Regions from separate parts of the Mus musculus genome. Here region 2 is reported to be linked to region 1. The links are microRNA targets in miRTarBase. Many come from high-throughput screens and were not tested one by one. Region 1 holds a microRNA gene; the other region holds the end of a gene's coding sequence.

What was found. The annotated mature microRNA mmu-miR-200a-3p reads UAACACUGUCUGGUAACGAUGU and lies in region 1 at 6,094-6,115, opposite strand. An mRNA with a match to its seed (bases 2 to 7 or 8) in the 3' UTR can be bound and repressed. Matches are read on the target gene's strand: a 7mer-m8 pairs with bases 2 to 8, a 7mer-A1 pairs with bases 2 to 7 and ends in A, and an 8mer does both.
Region 2: the mRNA of Dlx5 is a reported target of mmu-miR-200a-3p. Seed matches in the 3' UTR shown: 7mer-m8 at 9,957-9,963.

The regions. Positions count from the first base shown.
Region 1 is chr4:156,048,818-156,059,952 of GRCm38, forward strand. It overlaps Mir200a (microRNA 200a), which reads right to left and starts at 6,168; the gene lies at 6,079-6,168. It overlaps Gm13648 (predicted gene 13648), which reads right to left and starts at 10,985. Exons shown (of 2, transcript NR_132444.1): 1 at 10,765-10,985; 2 at 3,898-5,212. It overlaps Mir429 (microRNA 429), which reads right to left and starts at 5,170; the gene lies at 5,088-5,170. Mir200b (microRNA 200b) reads right to left here and starts at 6,933; the gene lies at 6,864-6,933. It also overlaps a transcript of Ttll10 not described here.
Region 2 is chr6:6,868,162-6,878,595 of GRCm38, forward strand. Dlx5 (distal-less homeobox 5) reads right to left here. Exons shown (of 3, transcript NM_010056.3): 3 at 9,640-10,327. The coding sequence ends at 9,998. Dlx6os1 (distal-less homeobox 6, opposite strand 1) reads right to left here and starts at 3,466. Exons shown (of 2, transcript NR_155496.1): 1 at 3,328-3,466.

The DNA.
Region 1 (11,135 bases):
AGTGCTCAGCCCAGGTCCTACTAACACAACCTGTCTATAGCTACCATCAACTCCTCTTCTCCCAGCACCCCTGCCCCAGATGTTGTCCCTTTTCCCTATTTGCCGTCTTTGGAACATTTTAGGGCATTTTAAATTAATTCCTAGACAAAAGTTTGTGCCTCCCATCACATCAAGTGAATAAACCCAGTGTGTTGGGTGAATGATGAGACGGTACAGAGAACTCTGTGACTGGGAAGGGTAAGACAAGGCCTTTGGATAGGAGCAGGTCAGCCTTAAGGAGGAAGACAGGTCTGTGGATTGACTGACTGACAGCAAAGAAAGGCCAAATATGGGCATCATGTCTATCAATTCTACCCCTACTGAATCAACAGGAGAAGAAAAAAAAAATCCAAAAAGTTCTGTAGGGTGGAGAGAAATCCTGGAATGAGAAACTCATGCCACTCTAGAGGACAGGCTGCAAAGATGGAAGAATCCAGGAGTGCCTGGAGATCCCTTCCCAACCGAGAAAAGGAAAGCTCCCAGGAAAAGGCTGAGATAGGAGCTTTAGAACTGGGCAGGAGTGTAGGTGTGGGTGTGCGATTCTGCAGTCACTTTCTTAGCTTCGTATTCTTGTTATTTTAACATTGAATTCAGCTATGAATTATTATTTCTTGTCATCTATATTTACTAAAGCTAAGCTAGGTGTGGTAACACAAGCTTGTAATCCCAGCACCTGGGAGGCAGAAAACAGGAAATTGCCAAAAGCTTGAGGCTAGCCTAGGCTACATAGAGAGACCCTGTGAAACAACAACAACAACAAAAAAAAAATAGCAAGGCTCAAGATATAGCTCAGCTGATACAGTGCTGCATAGCATATATAAGATCAGCCCCGGATCTGGTCCCCTGCACCAGGAATGGCATTGCACACTTAGAATCCCATTACTTGAGGAGGATCAGAAATTCAAGGTAGTCTGACTATATAAGTTGGTGACCAGCCTGAGCTACACTACATGAAACCTTCCCTCAAAAATTAAAAAAACAAAACCAAGGAAAACCCACAAAAATAACAAAAACTTCATAGAAAACCTAATGAGTGAGTAGGGATCTATGTACCCAAGAGAGGAAGGACTGGGGTACAGCATCTAAACTGGGAAGCTACCAGCTACTGCCCTTATCTAGGAAGCGCGTTTCAGGGCGTCTCTGAGGAGGAGACCCAAGATCCAGAAAGGAAGTTTTACACTAAAAGTTTCAGTTACAGTTTCAGGAAGCAAGCTGTCTAATACTGAAGCAAATGGTGTGGTCATGAATCTTGTGATATTACATAAAAGTTAAGGGAAAGCTCAAGGTGAGGAGCCAGACTGAAGCCTGAAGTCTTTATAATAAATTTAAAATAAACATGTTTACCTGATCAGATAAAAAGACCGGCAGGAAATCACACCCCGGTACAATGGGCAGGAGATGCGTTTAAACCTGAAGAAGATGGCCAAGAAAATGACCATGTCAGTGCTCTGCTGAAGTTTTCTCTAGACACACACACGTTTGGCAACACAGGGCTCTGAGAAGGTGCTGACATTTTTTGAAGGGCCGGTGCCTCCCAAGCTGCGCTCACTGTCTGGGGATGCGTTCTCTGTGGATCTCAGGAGGTGGCCCTTCTGAGGGGTCAGTTCTGGGGGAGACAGACACGGCTCTAGGCAAAGAGCTCCTTCTAAGGGGTCCCAGCCCTCCCCAGAACTTGAGTTGCCCACATGGACCAGTCCCGCCCCACAAGACACGCCTTTGTTGGCTGAGACACTTGGGTTTGGAGAGTGTGGCCTTGGCAGAGGGCTGAACTCAGCCAAGCTGCCCAGTCCTCTCTCCTGTTTATCTACTTCCGGAAAGAGTCAAAAATGAGGCACAGGAGGGCAAGGACTCAGCCTCAGTCCTAGTCAGGACCCTCAGCTTGTAACCACCTAGTCTCTCTTACCTGCTCTCAAGGTCTTAGGAACCCTCTGCTGGGATACAACAGTGGTGACCTGGCAACTGTCTCCAGGCAACTGTTACTAGGGAACTATGATTCAGCAGCTGCCCAAAGGTAAACAAGAGTTTTAGGTGGATGGTGAAAGGGACCATTGAGTTGAAGGGCAGCCTTACAGAAGTTGGGCAAAGCAAGAAGTGGAGAATGGGTCAAATTGATCTGAGGAGGCTGGGGGGAAGCTGTTCCTGAGTTCACAACGCCATCTGAATCTGGGGCATAGCCCCACATCTTCCATCCTCCCATGAACTATATATATATATATATATATATATATATATATATGTGTGTGTGTGTGTGTGTGTGTGTGTGTGTGTGTGTGTATGTATATGAAATTTTTAAAAGATTTATCTTATATATGTGAGTGTACTGTAGCTATCTTCAGACACACCAGATGAGGATATCAAATCCTGTTACAGATGGTTTTGAGCCGCCATGTAGTTGCTGGGAATTGAACTCAGGACCTCTGGAAGAGCAGTCAGTGCTCTAAACCACTGAGCCATCTCTCCAGGTCCCCTTCCCCCCATGAATTCTTCCTAGATGATTTTGAGTATTCACAGGGACTCCTTAATCCATACCTAAAGAACTAGGATCTAACACCAAGCATGGCTCAAAGTGGCTTTGAGGCCAATTTGTAGTTTCCTGCTGGGGTCCTTGGGATCTGGTGTGACTCCTGCTTTTGACCCCAAGTTTTCAGCCATATGGATCCACATTCCTGTCATCTTTCAGAGCCTTGCAAGGATCACAATAACTTGACAGGGGCTACATGGTGCTTCCAAAAACCAGGACCATATCCTGGAGTCCATGACCGTGCCTTTCTAAAAATAGAAATCTGTACAGATGTCACTGAGTTAGAATTTTGGGTGCAGTCATCTTGTGTCAACCAGCCGTACTCTAAACCCAGTGACTGGTGACCTCTTTAGAGGGAAGCAGAGATAAGGGTATGTGACTGTAAGCCACAGGACCTGTGAACTAAGACGAGGAAGACACTTGAAGACTCCCTCTAGGGCCTTCTTGAGGTTCTAGGGGCATATCTTGGAAATTCTGGAAGACAACTGTTGTCTTTGGCTACCCTGTAAATCTCCTCACCTTCAGGTTCTTTTGTGGTTCTGCTCATGTTAAGGGGCTCTAGCATCCCCTTAGAGGCTGGGCATGACAAGTCACTCACGTGGCCTTCCCTAGTCTAAGCTGCCAGTGTGGGAGCTTGTGCTTGGCAGGTCTGAAGGAGCACCATTTCTCAGCTGTGCCCAGAGTCCTATGGCGATAGGAGTGCCCCATAGGTTGTCATTCTCTACTTGTGAGATCTGCCCTTCTTATGCTGTGCTGGGAGTCGGGGTCTCTGTGGTCAGTCCAGTGCTGGATCAAGAGACCTCTCTGCTCTAGACTAATAGTACAGTGGGACTGCAGGTGGGCTGGGGCACATAGCACTTCTACTAAACCCTGGGCTGAGTTATTGGGGCTGAAAGCCTCCAGGCTGGACAGGTAGCTCACCCAACCCTGGAGAGGCTTTGGACCAGCAGCCAGCTGTCTCTGATCCTGGCTATGACATTTTCAATGCACACTCCAGGAGCTGGGGATTGTAGCTCAGGGGTGGAGTGATTGCTTTCACATTCATAACACCCTGGGCTTGGTTCCTGCACAAGACACCCAATTCTCACTCCAAGGCTGACTCTTGGCTGAGACAGGAGCCCCCATTTTCCTGATTCACCTGTCCTTGGTAGGTTCTAGAGTACATATTGCATACCAGAGCTGGTTTGTGTAATGACTGGCTGGGTACAATGAGCCCCATGTCTCTCTTCTATCTGGCGGGAGCACCGATCACTGGAGTCCCCGTGTCCTCGGCTTGATCCTTTGCAAGGCTGCTTGTTAATGTTTTGTACGGTGAAAATGAGATGATCAACATAAAATTTCAGAAATCACACAATTTATTGCCTTACAAAGATTTTTTTTGCCTGCATTTTATTTACAATGCTTGAAGAGATGACAAAAAGGGGACCACCTATTATAGAGCGCACGATGGGCGGACAAGTCCCTCAGCCACATAGAACTTGGAGCCCAGCAGGTTTCTGTGGAAGATGAAGTCCAGTGTCCCTATAATGGTTCTTTAGAGGAATGGCCTGTCCAGGGCTAAGAAATCTGTTAGGGCATGTTGGGTTCCTTCAAGAGGGCAGTGGATGAGGTAGGGTTTGGCTCTGCTGGACTCAGGCTGTATTGGCCAACTTGAGGTTTGCAGAAGTCTAGGTACTGAAGCCAGCAGCTTGCAGATGAGGTCTAAGAGGTTCACTTCTAGTTCTTATCACAGCAACACTCAAACTCCCCATATAGCAAATGATGTAAGCATTGGGAGTCATTCTAGAGCAACCGTTTTAGCAACAGCCTTTTGAAAATTCTCAGGGACATGGGGTGGGGGTGGGATCTTTAAGATCGGGCCATTCAGCATCCAGAGTTAGACTGAAAGATGACTCTCAGATCCTAAGAGCCAGAGGTGGGATGCATAGGAAGAGCTCATAAGCAGGCTGACAACGGCAGAGCTGTGCAGCCTTGTGCATATTCCTGGGTATGAGTCACTATCACCTGGTCTGGCACCTTGGCAGTGCCCCTGTCCCTGAAACCCATATACTTATTTTCCACTCCGGGTTTGGGCACAGTGGTTAGACTTGCTTTTACTCTCCTTGGTTCCATGACCTGAGAATTTTGGAGAGGAGACAAAGGACCAAGGTTTTAGATCTCCTCTTGTCTCCTACCAGTGTTGATAGCACAGGGGCTACAGAATCTGCAGGTGACAGCTGACGACAGATCGAAGTCTCTGTGTGGAGCCCAGTGGGCTATGGAGGGCAAGAGGACTGTGACCGCCCCACTGACTATTCCTGAAAAGGATGGATACGGAGGCCTCAGTCTGCTGTGGCTGTAACCGAAAGCTACTACAGGGTCAGAGGAAGGCAGTCAGGCTCAGCGGGGCCTGTATATTTAAACTGTGGTCTGTTTGCATAGAGGGCTTGATGAACCCAGCTCTGGACAGTTGTAACAGATGGATTAAGGTCTTGTCTCTACCCAGTGTCCACGAGGTGGTGAGGATGTCGTCTCCAGCGGTGATAAGGCCGTGGATGGACGGCATTACCAGACAGTATTAGACAGATGCATCCAGATCTAACCATGTCTGGTAAGACATCCATCAGCAGGGCAGTACAAGGGCCTCCCCATCTGGGCAGTTGGATTTGATACCTGTAGAGGGAAGGCCAGGGTTGGCTTCCTGCCTGCTCTGGTCCAAGGGCCATTCTTGGGGTTCACCCTTCTAGGACCTGGGACTACTCTAAGGACTTTCTTACCAGGGCCCAGCTTGGTTGCCTGTTCCTCAAGTGTGGAAGTCTGTGGGTGCAACAGGAGAGTCATCTGCTCACTCTTACTTGGCAAATGCTCGTCATAGCACCTCTTTGGTTTTCTGAATGGCTGTCAGCTTAATGAGTAACATTAAAGCCAGGAACAGACTCCTTCCCCCGGAAGAGTCATCTAGGCTGATACTGGGTGGGGCTCCCTGACCCTGTACTCTGGCTCCAAGTAAAGAAAGATAAGAAGTAATCCTGGATTCTGGTTTGGGGCAAAGTTCCTATTCTGGAAAGCCATTGGGAAGGAATAGAGATTCCTTGTTCTTAATTAGGAAACAGCTGATGACGTCACAATTCTGTGTACCAGGCTCAGGTCCCCGAACCCACCCTTGCCCATTGGTCCCATAGGCACTGACAGTCCTTATGCTAACACTGCTATCCATGTCTCCTTACCTAGCTCAGCATCCTCACTAACCCTCACAGTCTCTCTAGGAATCAATGAACCCCCAAATCCAGCAGAGGAGTTGGCAAAGGTGGGCATCGCTGCTCTGAGAATGAGTGACAATCCACTTCTACTCCAGTACCCCTGGCATGGTGAAACCATCCCTTGTCCCAGCATGAAGTAATAGACAAGGGTCAAAGTCCAGCCCCCACTGACTGCTGATCTGTAGAGCTGAGACAGGCCCTCTGCACCCAGCACCCAGCCTCGGCCTAACTGGAGTCCAGGAGGACAAGTGTGTATCATCAGCCTGTCTTCGGCGAATGGTGGGTCACCTTTGAACATCGTTACCAGACAGTGTTAGAGTCAAGCCAAGAAATCCAGCACTGTCCGGTAAGATGCCCACAGAGGCCCAGGTATGCTCTGGCAGGAAGACACAGGTGGTTTCCACCCTCAGGGAGGCCCAGTGGAAACCTGATGCCATGAACAGCCAGAGACCGTATATGCATCGCAATAAGCCAGCAGAGATGTTGACCCTAACTCATACGGTCTGCTTTGTCCAAAGCAAGGGGACAGTGACACATTGGCTCAGTGTGCATGTTGGAGGTGCTGTTGGTCAATAGGTCGGTGCTCACTTGATGCAGGAAGGTAAGGTATCCCAGGCTTGAGTAGCCCCACTAGGGGGTCAATCAGTACACAGCTCCTAGATGTAGGTGAGGCAGTTTTTGGCATGAGGCCCTCTGAGCCTAGGCGGAGACTTAGCCCTTTAGAGCCTTTGCTGCACTTCCACCCAGCGTACACCTGCCAGGTGTGGTGGCAGCACCTGCCTGGGTATTGTATGCAGAACCCAGGCACTTGACTGTCCTAATTCCCAGGGCATTGGGAGGGGGCGCCCCCAGGGCAATGGGAGGAGCCTCTCACCCCAGGATATAGAGTGGCCCTCAGAGGTGCCTGGTTTGGGGGAACTCTCCCTAAAGCCTCCCACCACCCATATCGCCAAGGCTAACTCTTTGCCCCATAGCCCTACCTTGGATAAGGTAGGTGAGGTGTGGAACTGGGGCCCCTGGAGGCTGGGATCAGGAGGCGGCTCCATTGCTGCATGCAGGGCTCCGCCGTCATCATTACCAGGCAGTATTAGAGATCAGACACTATCCAATGCTGCCCAGTAAGATGGCCACGGCTGCCCAAGTTGGATATGGAGGCCGCCTAGCAGGGAGTTGAAGATGACTAGATTCCATGGGCAGGGCCCAGATGCCTAAGTGTCCTAATCCCCAGAGCATTGCAGAAGGAGGGCACCCCTTCAGGACAACAGCAGAAAGCCCTGCATTCTCATCTCCAAAGATAGGTAGTGGAGAGGTCAACAGCTTGAAGTAAGATCAAGTTCTCTTTTGGAAATTAGATGGAAAATAATTAGGATGGGGGTCTTATAGGCCCTGAAGCCTCTTTCTTGCCTCTCTATAAGGCCCAGAGGAAGGACTTAGCACCCATGGCCATAGACAAGTTCCCCTGCCCAGCCAAACCTGACCTGCAGTGGACTAGCTTGGGGCCCAGGTGAGGACTTTGAAGGGTCAAATAGTCCTTCCCAGAGGCTGACAGCCCGAAAGAGCTGGGAGGCAGGCTATGTAGACTTCCATGTGACCAATGGCCAGGTCAGGATCAGGTCATAGACAGGCCCTCCATCTGAGTATATTCACTACAGAATAGCCTAGACAACAGGTCCAGTCCCATTAGGGTACACAGTGTACTTAAGGTTGATGAGGTTCACTCAGTGGGCCTCTGTCTCCAGGATACTGTTCAAGTCTACTTTCCTGCCCAGCCCCTCTTGCCTTTTTCAGGGCCCAAGAAGGATACTGGGATGAGGGACCAGGGATCCAACACTTCAAGCGTATGGGAAAAGCAGCCCCCAGTATGAATACAATAATCACATACCCATAGAAAGATCTTTTTGTTGCTAAGGACATAGCCTGTAGTCTCCCATACAGAGCCAAGAAACTAAGCACCTGTCCCAAGGATACTTGGGACTGAAAGAGACTCAATCTGTGCCTCTCCTCATCCCAAGTCCGTCTTTACAGAAGTATTTCTTCTCGTTTTTCTGGTCTTTTCTATCACAGACACAATACAGGTGGCTCAAGCCCTGTACTGATTTCCTCGGATCACAACGAAGGCGTGTGTCACTGCCTCCAGGCAGCCGCTAGTTCTCCAGCCTCTCTCCTGAAAGCCAACATTTCTGAGGACCTGACCTGAGCACAGGCTGAGCAGATGGGAATGGACACTCTATAGGAGCCTAAGGTTTTAGAAACTGTCCTAACTCTTCGTCTATCGCCTACAAGGTTCCCAGTGCTCTCAAACACCCGTCAGATATACTTCCCCTTTCCCGAACTTTTTTAGTTCTATCCTATCAGATTCATAAAACCGGTGCTTCAAAAGGACTTTCTCTCTCTCTCTCTCTCTCTCTCTCTCTCTCTCTCTCTCTGAGCTTTGGCAAACTAAGGATTCTATTTGAGAACTAAGTGGACTAAGCAGAATTTCAGTTATCCTTGTGGCTTCAGAGCCACAAAGAGTGTGGGAGCTGGGTGAGGGTAAGCACCAAGGATGTTGCCTTTCCCCCTTCTGGTTGTGCCAAAGAAACAGGGAAGACGAAATGGTATCTAATGATGAGCCTGATCCCTGCATCCTTGACTACTCAGGGTGAGCACTTCTTAGGGAACATGGGAGGCTAGGGGACTCTGCCAAGTGCATAGCTGGCCCGGGCATAAGCCAAAAGGTCAGATATATGGGGGCAGGTGCTCAGACAGCAGTGTGTGTGTGTGTGTGTGTGTACAACCTTCAAAATGCAGATTCTGTAGGTCCTCCAGCAAAATTTAAAGGCTGAACAGATTCTAAAAGTCATGAGTTGGGACTGGGTGTCTTGGTGTCCAAGCACTGTTGAGTATGGGGGACCCTGCTTTATCCAGCATAGGGGGAAGGGAGAGACAAAAACATGACAGAATTACAGCCATAGGTCAAGAAATGAAAAGCAAAAACAGGGGTTCTATTTGGAGCCTGTGTGGTGCCCATCTGGTCAGTTGTATCTGAAAGTGAGGTTCAGGTCATGGTCCCCACAGCTAATTATCAGCATCTACTAGGCTTAGTTTAGGAAAATTAAGGAATGGATCCAGAAGCCAAGTGCCCCCAAGGCTCCTCTGCAGCAAGCACCCTCCCCCTTTCCAGAGTGCCTTGATCCTCGCCTGCGAGGCCAGGGAAGGTTGGGAATTTGTGGCAGAGGAACGCGTTCCCAGTGTGGGAAGTTGCTGGTTAACTTGCTCAAGGGGCCTTAATCAATGCTGAGGCCAGAGAACAAAGCTCTGAAAGTCAACCTCTCCTAACTTCGATGCCAGCGGCTGTGGGAGGGGGAGGGTGGGGGCAGGAAAGACTTGTCTTGTCTACACTCAGGCTACCTCTTAGTGGCTGTTGGAACTGCGTGTCTTCAAGGCAAAGCCGCCATTTCATCCACACAGCCGTCAGCATTGTCCCTTAGCCCTTCGGTTGTATAGCTCACCCTCCAGGTCCACTGCACCCCTGAGTGCCAGCCTCCTGCGACCGGGGAACTTCCTTAGGCCATTTTACACACTAAGAACATCCTGGCAAATTGATTTTGCAAATAAAGTATTTGCAAATTACCAAGATGCCTGAAAATTAACAATGGACTATATCCATATTTTATGGCTCATTTGCATTTTCATAAATGCAAAACATTTTGCTTGATTCAACAATCTACCGATTGCTCCAACATTTTTATCTAGGTTACCAGAAAAACAAAACAAAGTTGAACTACTTTTCCGGATGCTCAGCTAGAAAGGGCTTAAAGTAGTCACCACATATATTAATCAAAACACTGCACTCTTCCATCCTATGGATTTTGTTCAAGAACAATGAAACAACATACTCTATATTATGCCTAAAGAAAACTAGGCAACTTTTTCTTCAACATTATCAGCTCCTAAGTTTAAACTCAGAGAGTTTGGCCATCTGGATACAAACTCAGGGCTGGGCATGCCTAGACGCCATAGCACAGTCTAGATGTTCCTCCAACCAGACATTTATATAGCTGGCTATTCATGGCTGCTGTGCTATTTAGCATGTAAGGGAGAAAAAAAAAATCTTTTAAATGGACCTGATCTGGAGTAATGGCTTGAGGAACCTGTCCTGTCTTCCCCAGTGTGGTCCTGGCTTTGTTAACACCTCAGAAATGAACAGTGAGAAAAAGCCAGCGTGCAAGACTGACCAATTCTGATTTCACCATTGTCACCAACCTAAAGGGCTCAGGCAGCCTCCAACCACAGGTCCTCTGGGTCATGGCTGCTGACAAAAGCAAGCCCTTCCCAGCACAGAAACCAACAGAGACGAGATCTTCATGCCCGCCAGCCGCACCCTTCCCTGCACCCACCTCTGAGGCGGCAGCCTACCGTGGTGGAACAGCAGTGGCTGCTTTAAGAAAGAACTTTCCAGAAGGCTGTATTTCCGGGAATGGCAGGAGTCTGCTTTCTGCGCTCCAGGTGCTTGAACCCACCTGCTCTAAAGATGCCTCCTGCGGACCCCTGCAGGCCCCCAAGCCTAGCCCAAGATGGCTCCACATCTAAATCCCAGCTGGAGCACAGTTGAGGGAGCCGCTTTCTTCTTTGGGAAGGAAGACCTGCTCTACCCTGCTCTGCTTCCCCCAATACACAGTTCACCAGACAGAGGCTGATCTGCAGCCCCAAGTCTGTCACCACCATTCGTCCTACTCCATGTCAGACTCCTAGGGGCCCACCAGCCTCTCCCTACATGGTGTTCTCAGGCCCGCCTGGCCTCCCTCCTGCCTGCCCCTACCTGCCCAAACAGGTTCCTGACGGGCTCCTCCACTGCTGGGCAGAGCTACAAGTTGCTCCACCCCCAGTATCGAGGCAGCACTGTGCCTGTGTCTAGAACCCAGTAGGTGGGGTGTAAATCAAGGTTTGCAAAGGATATGGAGAGGCATCCATCACCCCATATACCTGTCAGCAGTGGTGGATAGGGCTGGGCGACCAGCTCTGGCATCAACCCAAACTTTCCCTCAGCCAGGACTCAGACTCAGGCGTTGTAGCTGGGGCGTCACAGGAAAGAATGACTGTCTCCCCTCCAGGTGAGCCTCAAACACAAAGAACACTAAGGTGCACAGTGAACTGGCACAGGTCGACAACTCGGGGACAATGAGGAGGAAAGAAACTGCTCTCGGCCAGGAAGGGGGAAGGACAGTGTGGCCTGGGCTCGCCTTACATGTAGCTACTCACCCCGCCCAGTGCAGGTGTCTGTTGCCTGCCAGCCAATCTCTGCTCCTGGCCCCCAAACAGGTGTGTCCCTCGGGGCTCTGATAGGCTAAGAGGAA
Region 2 (10,434 bases), not on the chromosome of region 1:
GAACCCCCCCCCCAATATCTCTTCAAGAAAGAAGAAAATTTGGTTGTAAAAAGTAGAACATTGCCACAAAGGAAACACTGCATGTCTTTTCAAAATGCAATGATCAGGAATGACAACTCAGCTAATACAAACAGTAACAGCAACAAGAAAGATGCTCTTTGCATAACCCACCTCCAAACTCTGAACTGGAAAGAAGAAAGACCAAGGAAAACAACCAAAATCACCATTCTATTGCTTTGACACCTTTCTTAGGTGAATAGTGGCATTCACTAAGCTAATAGGGACGTTTATATCAAGGAACATTTCTGTATATATTGTTGAATTTTAGTTGTATATATACTTTGTATGTTTTTGTCTTCTTTCATATATGGAGTAAAAGCCACAAAATGTTGGGAGTGTCCTCTACTGCTCCAGGTCTCTGTCTGTCTATCCTTCCTCCCTTTCCACTATATTTTCTATCTCTCTTAAAATAATTTTTGTTTCCTAATATGGTGTGCTCTATACATACGTATTCAGTGCCTGAAAAGATGTCAGTTTCTACCACAAGTCTTTGTCTCAGGTACTTTAACATGAGCCATGGGTGTTCTCAGGCTTTCATTTTAATTTTGTTGTGATTCACACACACTTTTGTATTTTTAAACATTAGAATAACCTAGACACAGCTTAACTTTTAGACATCCAGACAATTCCATACTGTATCTGAATATTCTCCTTCCCCTTTCCCTAGATAAAATAGTACAGCTATATTTGCCTTTGGAAGCATTTTTTTAAAAAAAAGTAAAAAGAGAAAAGAATAACAAACCCAGAAAGCAAAGTGCACAATTTTGACCACTTAATGTTAAAAACCCGTTGCAAGCTAGCAAGGTAGGAAAATGTTCTATCCTGCAAGAAACACATCCTTCCGATCTCGTGGAAAGCAAAGAAATAATGAAAATGAAAAGTCCTTTCGTCATACAAGCAGGAAGCCCCATACTGTGAGAATTAATGGCTACAGACCTGGGCATCCTTCAAATTATGAACCTTGAAACCACTGAGCCATTTATCAGAAGTCAATAGAGATACTCAGAGTGCTCCATATAATGACAGCGACATACAGTCGTGCAAAAGGACAGTCACTATAATTAGACACAAAGCAAAGACTACTTACCAATATCCCCGTTCCCTTTTTTGTTGAGCAACTTCCACGCTCAGTCAGTCTTCAGAATGGTTTAAAACCGATCAGTCTTGTCATTTTCTAGCATTCGCATTGTTACATTAGGAAAAATGTTTTCTTTTCTTTTTTCCCCCTTCCTACTGTGAAACTTTGGGTTCGTAGCTCCCCAGGATCAATTCTGAACAAAGCCTCCAGCTGCAGTGCCATCCAATTTGAAGCAGACATTGGGGACAATTTAAGGTTTTTATCCACAAGAAGGTTTTTTTCCATTCTCTTAAATGCAGCCATAATTAGAGTAATTTTTCATGTAGCCCGCTGATTACAGCGTTTTTACCGTCAAAGATAATTACCTGTAATTTTCTTCCACTTTTAATACTAAAAAGCCATCTTTATTTAGATTCAGGAACAGGAAAGGCGAAACAAAAGAGGGAAATTATTCTGTTATTCATACACAAATTGCAGAGACGTAGGACCTAAAATTGAAAATTAACCAAAATTATAATGCTGGAAAGAATGGAAGAGGCTGCAGAAGTACAGCTGGTAGTAGGGCTTTGCTGAATTATTCAAATTATGTTAGAGAAAAAGCTACCATATATCGAAACCAACACTAATTTTTCCTTAAAAAATTTCACCAAATATATGCCAAACCACTGTGAGTGTATAGAATTCTGAAACCAGAAAATGTTTATTACTAGGTTGGAGGTGGGGCTGATGCCTCTGCATCCATCTTTATCTCCTATTGAACATGAGCTTAGTTACAGAGATGCTGTCAGATAGTCCCCTAGAACTCTGCTTAGAACTGGGCTCCCACTGGATTCCCTGAACTCCAAGGGTTAATAGTTTTTTCTCCTTTAAAATGTATTGACCCCCAAGGAAACTCGTTCCCCGAGGGAGGGATTGGTAGGAGGAGCATGGGTGAAAGGTGTTGCCAGTTGAGGTGTCTATTGCGCCTCCCCATGTTCAAACTCCCTACTAGACTGTAGAGTTTGAGTTCCCAAGCCCTGTTCTGACTATACTAAAGGGCTGGGGTGAGGAGCATAGCTATTGGGTAGGAATATAAGAGAGAGACAACTTCTCCTCCTCTCTAACAAATAAACACCACATTATCTTTGGACACAATTTAGTGCAAAGGTTCTTGCCATGGTAGAAAAGCTTCTCTCGGCAGGGTGGGCAGTCAAAGACATTGTGGGATCCTATACTAAGCACTCTAGCTACTTATAACATTTACAGGGTCAGGGAACAGCGTCATCTAGAGACGGAACAGCACAGCTTGTTGCCAATATCTTCCTCGGTACATAGACTACACTGGTTCCTTGGCTTCATAAGTTGTCGATTCTGTGTCCCAACCAATCATCCCCCTCTAAGCCCAGGATCACAGAATTTGGGCTCAGCAGGCAATAAGCTCCACGGTCTGGATACCTTCCCCTCCCCCACTCCCCACTCCCCTCTGCGCTCTCGCTCTCTCTCTCTCTCTCTCTCTCTCTCTCTCTCTCTCTCTCTCTCTCACACACACACACACACACACACACACACACACACACACACGGACAGGGAGATACAGAGAGACAGAGACTACAGCTCTATGCAAGGCCCTACGGAACAGCCTTGAAGGGTTTCAGATGCCATTTATTCTACAAACTTTCCCCCAGCTGGAGAGAAGATGCCCAAAGGGCTGCAAAGCCCAGAGATTCAGGCACACCTGCTTTTGCTAACATCCATCCCCATAGCTGACTGCAAAGAAGCAAGCCACACAGCCAGCTCTGTTTGATCTCTGATGCCTCAAAACCTAAAATCATGGCCGCATATAAAAACCTCAATGTATTTACTTAAGATCAATTGTAAGTAACAATTTTCAGATAGATTTTTAGCTTGGACTCTCGGGCTCCTTCTACAACTCGCAGAAACCTGGTCCTTTCTTCGTCTCAAGTCACAGACTACACCAAACACATCAGTCGCACGGAAGCAAGACAGGCAAGTCAGGTTCTTAGGGATCCCATTCTCACCAGATCAACTCTTACTGTTAAAGGAAAATAAAAGGTCAGAGCCCAAACCTTGAAACCAAAGTTGCAATTCAAGTAAATCACAACAACATATTGTATATAGCTTGGAGAGTCTGAGAGGAGAAATAAAAACAGTACTTAGAAGTTAGAAGTATGCCAAAAATAAAAACTTACCCCGGTGAATATCTCTTAAGCAATGATCAGGGTCTAGAAATCTATACTGAGCGGAGGGAGGCACAGGAGAGCGTTTCTCTGAGTCTCAGGGCAGAGGCTCTGTCTCTATATTCTTGGTTGAGTGAGCACATCCAGGTGTGAAATTGTTTGCACACCCCAGCACCTCTTATATTGCCAGCAAAATTAGCTGTTATTACTGTCACTGTTTAGTGATGGTTAGCGTGATACAAAAAAAAAAAAAAAAAAAAAAAAAAAAAGCTGCTGTAATCAAGACCTGGCGCATCTTTGCAAATTACAGATAATTGTAAACGTCCAGATTATGATAATAGCATCCTAATCCAGCCTGCAATATAATTATTACAGAGTGTTACATCTGAAACTGTCCAGTAGGGCTAATTCAGCCATTATTTAGACCCTATTTTTTGTACTGCAAATGGGTTGCTGAGTTGAAAATGTACGATTGTAATTTCACAGGGCACTCAATGAGTAATGGTATAGGAAGAGGGAAAGTACAAAAGTGAAATGTGAACAGTAGCGATCAAATCAAACCCTGAAGGACAAAAGACTGTTTGATTCATATGGAAAAAGAAGAGCCAGAATTAAGAAAATAGCAAATCAGCAGTCTGAAGTATTATGTGTCCAAGTCTTCCACCGTGCAGAGCTGGTGCATTCACAGGGCCCCTGCTGCTGCTGCTGCCTCTGCTGCTGCTGCTGCCTCTGCTGCTGCTGCTGCCTGCAGGCTCAAATAGTTTTTTTTTTTCTTTTTTTTTTCTTTTAAAAACTACTCCCGTCTTTCTTCCCTCTACCATAGCATTTTCCTACTCTTAAAGGTGCCCTTCCCCCACAGCCCCTCCCCCACAGCAAAGGATATTTGTCAGTCCCTCCACTCTCTCCACCAAAGCCACCTCAGAATGTGCCTGTCACTTGTTTATAAACATATTCTTATATGAATCTACAATTGCTCTTGTCATCAGAGCCAACTGCCCTGGGTGCTGTAAAGTGTGTCTTCCCTCTATCCCTCTTCTCTTTTACAATAAAGAAGCTCTACTGCGTCCTAGAGGATATTAGCTGAACACGTATTAATTAATGTTAATTAAATATAGCCATCTGGGAAGCTGTTGGTTTGGTTAATATTTTAAATTTCATCATTAACTTTATTAGTGACCCCCCCCCCAATAAACCATTCTGGTTGCTTCTATGTCACAATTCGCCTAACAGGGCAAGGTTCCTGATCATGTTCAAACAGGAAAGGACAGAATGGAAAAGGGAAAGAGAGCTCAAGAGAGATGGGGAGACTCTTTCTGGTCCTGGAGTCAAACTCTCTGAGGATTCTATTACTTGCAGAAATATAAGTCATGCCCTAGCAGAGTCTGGATTAGTTAGCCTAGCCTCTGGATTAGTTCTGGTAGCGACATCCCAGTTAGAGTACATCCCAGTCAGAGATACCTAAACCTTGTATCCCAGGACTTCAGTTTCCCTGTTGAGCACAGAGAATTTCTTCAGCCTCTTTTCCAGTTTCAAAGCCAATTGTGTTGATTTCCCCTCCTCCCAAGGACATCTTACCGACCCACACAAGCTGCCCAACCAAGGCCACCCTGCAGGGTGGCAAGCAGGCTCCCTAGCTCCTGTGAATTTAAGGGCAATAATGAAATGTCCCCTGTTTAGTGACCCCTGTTTATAGATGAAAGTTGAGTCCATATCCCGCACCCCCTTCCACCCACCCTTCCCCCCCTCTTGCAAATGGCAAGTGGCTGAAATAGTTCTAGGTGAGAATAAGCGTCCGCTGGCGGTTTCTGTTTTCACGCCTTTCAAGGAAAAGAAATGCTTTAAGATAAATCATAGCTTTGAACCGTTTACCATCCTTCACACCCACCCCACCAAAACAACAACAACAACAACAACAACAACAAAAACAACAAAAAACCAAAACAAAACAAAATAAAAGCAATAGACTGTGTATGGTGGATTCCACAGAGAATTGTTATTGAAACTGGGAGGGAGGAGAGAAGGGTGGGGGGATCAGGTCATGAAGCCATTTTCCCTTCCTGTGGTGAAAGGTCATAATGTGTGGTATTTCACGGTTTCATATAAACCTTGGTTTAGGATGCGGAACAGACTCAATAATACGTGTGCTTTTGGCAAAGAAATGAATTCAGAACCACTTAAATCAGAAGTCCGAGCGAGCGAACAACGCGCAGAAACATCTCATTGCTGTTAAGAACAGGACTCGCCTTTCCTTTAAAGAGAGACTCGCTTAAATTCGGTTTGTATCTTCAAAGTTAGAACTCAAAAGTATAAAACAGGTTGTTACATTACAGTAGGCAGCCCTAGCTGACCGCGAAGGAAAGGCTCCTCCATCCCTCAGTCATTCATACCTCTGGCAGTAGACACCTTGTACCCTTTCTGCCTTGCACCACTTAAAAATCTAAAGCCTGTCAGAAGCAAAAGAAAACGCCAGGGATGCGAGTCTCCGGTACAGGCTGCGTGGAAAGGTTTAACTAATACCATGCGCACCACCAAGATTTGGGCTGTTTTCTCTCGGCCTGGGATTGGGTCAAAAATGTGCAAGGTCTGTGGGCAACCTGGAAACAAGAGGGTGGTGGGAGCCAGGAGTCGGAGACCAGAGTAAGTCAAGGAGCCCCCTCCCCAAGCGCTGGGCAGTGTAAACCCGCACCCAGCAGACGGGGGTGCGGGGGGGAGGGGGAGGGAGGAAGGTGCTTGAGAGTGGAGGAGGTGGGGACTGCAGGCTGATCCTCGCGGGTGCCGCACTTCCCAACCACCTCTCTGAGCTACTGCCCTCAGGGCGTGCCTTCTCCAAGAGCTGGAGAGCTCTAAGTTGGCCAGATCCCAGCAGCCAGTGGGAGGCACTGGATCCAAGAGGTGGCGGAGAAGGGGCTGGGATGGGGTGACTGAGTAGTCCTAAAGGTCTCTCTTTGGGAACAATAGGAAGCAAGAAGCAGAGGGTGAGTGCAGAGCAGTTTCCAGCAGGCATCCAGGGCAATTCAAGCTAGAGAGTGCTCGGTACTGAATTGTGGAGGTGGCTGTGTGCTGTAACGCCCAACTCAGGCTTGCTGTGGGTCAGTCAGGAGCCCGCGAGCCACTGGGCGTCCCGTGCGATCAAAGGAGCCATCGGAGGCCAGCCGGCACGCCTTGGGTCGTGGGATAAGGGGCGGGGGAGAAAGGGTTGTCCTTAGGCGGGGAGATACTGATCTGGCCCGTGTCACTGGGAGGGGATGCGTGTACACCTTTGTGTGGGTCAAAGCTTTTCTATGCAAGGCAGAGCCCTAGGGTGGATCCGAGGGGGAGTGGACTGACTCCCGGGTAGGTGCGGGGCGAGAGAGAGAGAGAGAGAGAGAGAGAGAGAGAGAGAGAGAGAGAGAGAGATAGAGATAGATCAAGGGCAGCGAGGTCTGCGGGTTCTTCAGTGTGTGTGTGTGTGTGTGTGTGTGTGTGTGTGTGTGTGTGTGTGTGTGTGAGGCTCTGTGGCTCAGCACTGGAGCCGCCTGGCACCCACAGGAATGCAGCTTCCCTCGGATCCCCAGGCCGCCTCTTGTCCCACAAGGAGGTGGCCGCCAGGAAAAAAAAGGGGGGAGAATGAGGGTAGAAACCCGCCTAGCCCAACCCAAGTCTCAAACAAAGGCCAATTTATCTGATCTTCAACAGGAGGGCTCCGGAGTCGGGCAGGGCACCGAGGAAATCACTCAAGCCCTGCCAACATGCCTTGGGCCTCTGAGTCTTTGCAGGGAGGTCTCAAGATGGAGGTCGAAAGTATTGCGTGGATGGGGGGAGGTCTACGGTGAAGAAAATTAGTTCTGAAGTCGGCTTAATTCATCTTCGGGGCATTAGACAGAGGACTAGGCAAGTGAGGAACAGAAGGGGCAGGCGCAAGAGACTTCTACTTGAAGTCCAGGGCTAGCGGGGTCTGTCAGTGCCAAAATGGAAGGACATGCGCTTGGTACACACAGGAAGAAACAATGGAGAGGTGAGAGGGAGGGCAAGAGAAACAGATATTTTTAGACTTTGCTGAGGATCTGTTATTTTTACATCCTTGGGCGCAGGACTGCAGGGAGTTAAATTCCCCAGGGAGAATCCCCGCAGTGCCAGGAAAGCCCGTTGCGGCTCACTTGCCAGAATATTTTTTGTTCACCGCTCCCCATCCAAGTTGAAAAAAAAAAAAAAAACCCTCCCAATTCAAGAGACCTCTACTAGTGAGGCTCACACAGGGGATGCAATCCTAAAACCAGGTCCCAACCCCTGCCATTGCTGCTCCAGGCTTTTGGCGTAGCAACAAACCAACTTTGGTGTCCTTAACAACCAGCAATGTCCCAGTTTGGGGTGAAGGATGGTGATTAAAGAGCATCCCTCTTTTTTCCTGAGAAAAGTCCGGACCCGCCCTTGCCTTTGCTTGGCTGAATCTGAGGGTCGGAGGTAGTGTAGAAAACTACACACACCCCTTCCTACCAGCGCAGCAGCAGGGAGATGACATCCACCCTCTCCGAATGCCAAGACGGAAAGAGCTTGTTCCCAGCACAGTTTTGACACTCTTGGGAAACCAGTGGGCGAGAAATATTGGGGGGGGGGGTGCGATGGATGTCCTCCGCCCTTGCCAACCTTCCCAAATATACACTCCTGGGTGGGGACAGGCCTGTGACCACCAGAAAGCCAGGTCCTGGAAATCAAGACCAAGCCTTCAGAAAGCTGTGGGCATTTGGTTAATGGAAACTGCTGAAATCTTGCAAGCAAAGAAAGAGCAGAAAATAGATACCCTCATCTCCTCCATTCTACTCCCTGTACACTACAGAAAACAAAATGGGGCCAGGACCTCCCCTAACACCACTGCCCCCCACAGATAGAGTGGAGTGAGGACAGGGGATAAATTTCTGTTTAGGCAGGCTGTTTCCAGGCTGCCCAGGCTGCCTGGAAATATATGTTGGCCATCCCCAAGTCCACTGAGTTTCAAACTGGTGGGATTGGTATCACCTGTGCAAAGAAAGAACAAGAAAAGAGAAAGGAGAACAAATGGAGATAGAAGGCTGATGGGAACGGAGGAATGGGAAGAGACTGGAGAGGCAGAAACTGACTCTGTAAATGGCCCAAGGGCACACAGCTTGCCCTTTCCGTTCTCACTGCTGGTTCTCTCTGAAATTCTGAGATGAGAAGATGCAGTTTTTCATGCTCTAATCCCCCTTCCCAAGAGGGCGCTTTTGTCACATTTATTGCTGCCGACTTCTTAGCTCTGGAATATTTCCCATAAATCTAGTAATTTCTAACATTACATATTCTTTGGAAATAGACTTAGATGGACCAAAGGACAGCCAGCCACAAAGATGCCTATAATTCAGGCCTTGGGGCACAGCCGTGGAGCCACGCTGTAGCTCTGGGCATAGGCTAGATATCTACATGCAGAAGTGTAAGGGACGCACAAATCAGAGGCCAGGTTGCTGCAACTCCCATCCTCCTTCCTTAAAGATGGCTTCACAAAGGAATTCTAGCAAACATCGCATTTCCGATGACTTGGAACTTGCCTGGCCCCTGTTTTATGTAAAAGCAGCACAGGAGATCCTGAAAGAGGCATGAAGTACGGATGCCGGTGAAAGACAATTATATGAAGAACCTTATCACAAGAAATGAAACCAATATAGCCCCCCCCCCACCTTTTTGAAAAGTAATTCTCCCCACCCCCATATTTCTTGTTTGGCCCAGTACTTCAGGTTCACTATTGTTCTGAATCCCTATGGTATTTTCTTGGCAGAAAGAACCTGGCCAGATTTGTAGTCATCCACATTAGGACTCCAAGGCTTAAACTACTGCTTGCTATGCCCCAAACATTTCATATTTTTGAGAAAAAAAAACTATATATATATGAGGAATGATAACAAATTTCCTTTTCTTCCCCTGTCTCATAATTGCAATACACATGCAGATGGGGGAGGGGGTCCCCACCAGAATCACTCTGTGCTTAGAATACCAGGTTATCAAGGGATTTCTGTTGGCTTTTTCCCTCACACACGGTAGGAGAAATGTAGTTAATTTCAATATTCCTTCCTACCCAAAACATTTGGAGCTATATTTAATATCATTTAAATGGTTTTGTGGTTAGAGGGAAAAAACCATCCTAAACACGACAGTACTATAAACAGGCCATATGTGCAGACAGATACATGAAATAGAGCATCCAACACAAACACATTTCTGCAACCAGACAGCTCCTGACTTCTGTTTTGCATTGTTGGATTTCTGGAGAATTCATCTGTTCTTAACCGTCTGCATATAACCTCACTAGCCAGTTATCAGGGGGCCAAAAAGGAGCAGTTTCCATGGTCGAAATAATTTTATTTATCCAGAATATACAGTTTAATTCCTCTATCTACACTTATTTACACGGTTAAAATAACATTGAAAAAAGTCTTTTGAAAAGTTGAGGTCATAGATTTCAAGGCACCATTGATAGTGTCCACAGTTGCGCAAAAAAAAAAAAAAAAAGGGTTCTTTTCGTAAAAAAGGGGGCGGGGCTCTCTGAAATGCAATAACTTACATGCAAAAAAAAAGTTTACACATGAATCTTTTTTGTTTCCATTGTTCAAACATCCCCGTATGAATTCCTTTCTTTCTGATTTCTAAACCAGCACAACACTGTAGTCCCAAAACTGAGCAAGAGAAAGTAGCCCATCTAATAAAGCGTCCCGGAGGCCAGTGCCAGCGGGTGCTGCAAGGAGCCCGGCGGTGGCAGGTGGGAATTGATTGAGCTGGCTGCGCTTGGGTACCAGGAAGCCGAGTTCTCCAGGTAGCTGGACGCGGGGGACTGGTTGGAGGTCGGAGGGTGGGCATGAGGGTGGTGGCTGAGAGAGCGGGATGAGCCCTGGGGCTCCCACACCGCTGGTGACTGTGGCGAGTTACACGCCATAGGGTCGCTGGAGCTGGGACTGTGCTCCGGGGGCATCTCCCCGTTTTTCATGATCTTCTTGATCTTGGATCTTTTGTTCTGAAACCAGATTTTCACCTGGGTGGGGAACAAAGGCACACGTTACCGGGACACTCAGAGGTTGCACGCGCCTTTCCCTGAGCGACGAATGAAGGCTCTCCTGGCCCTAGACTATCCTGCCCTGA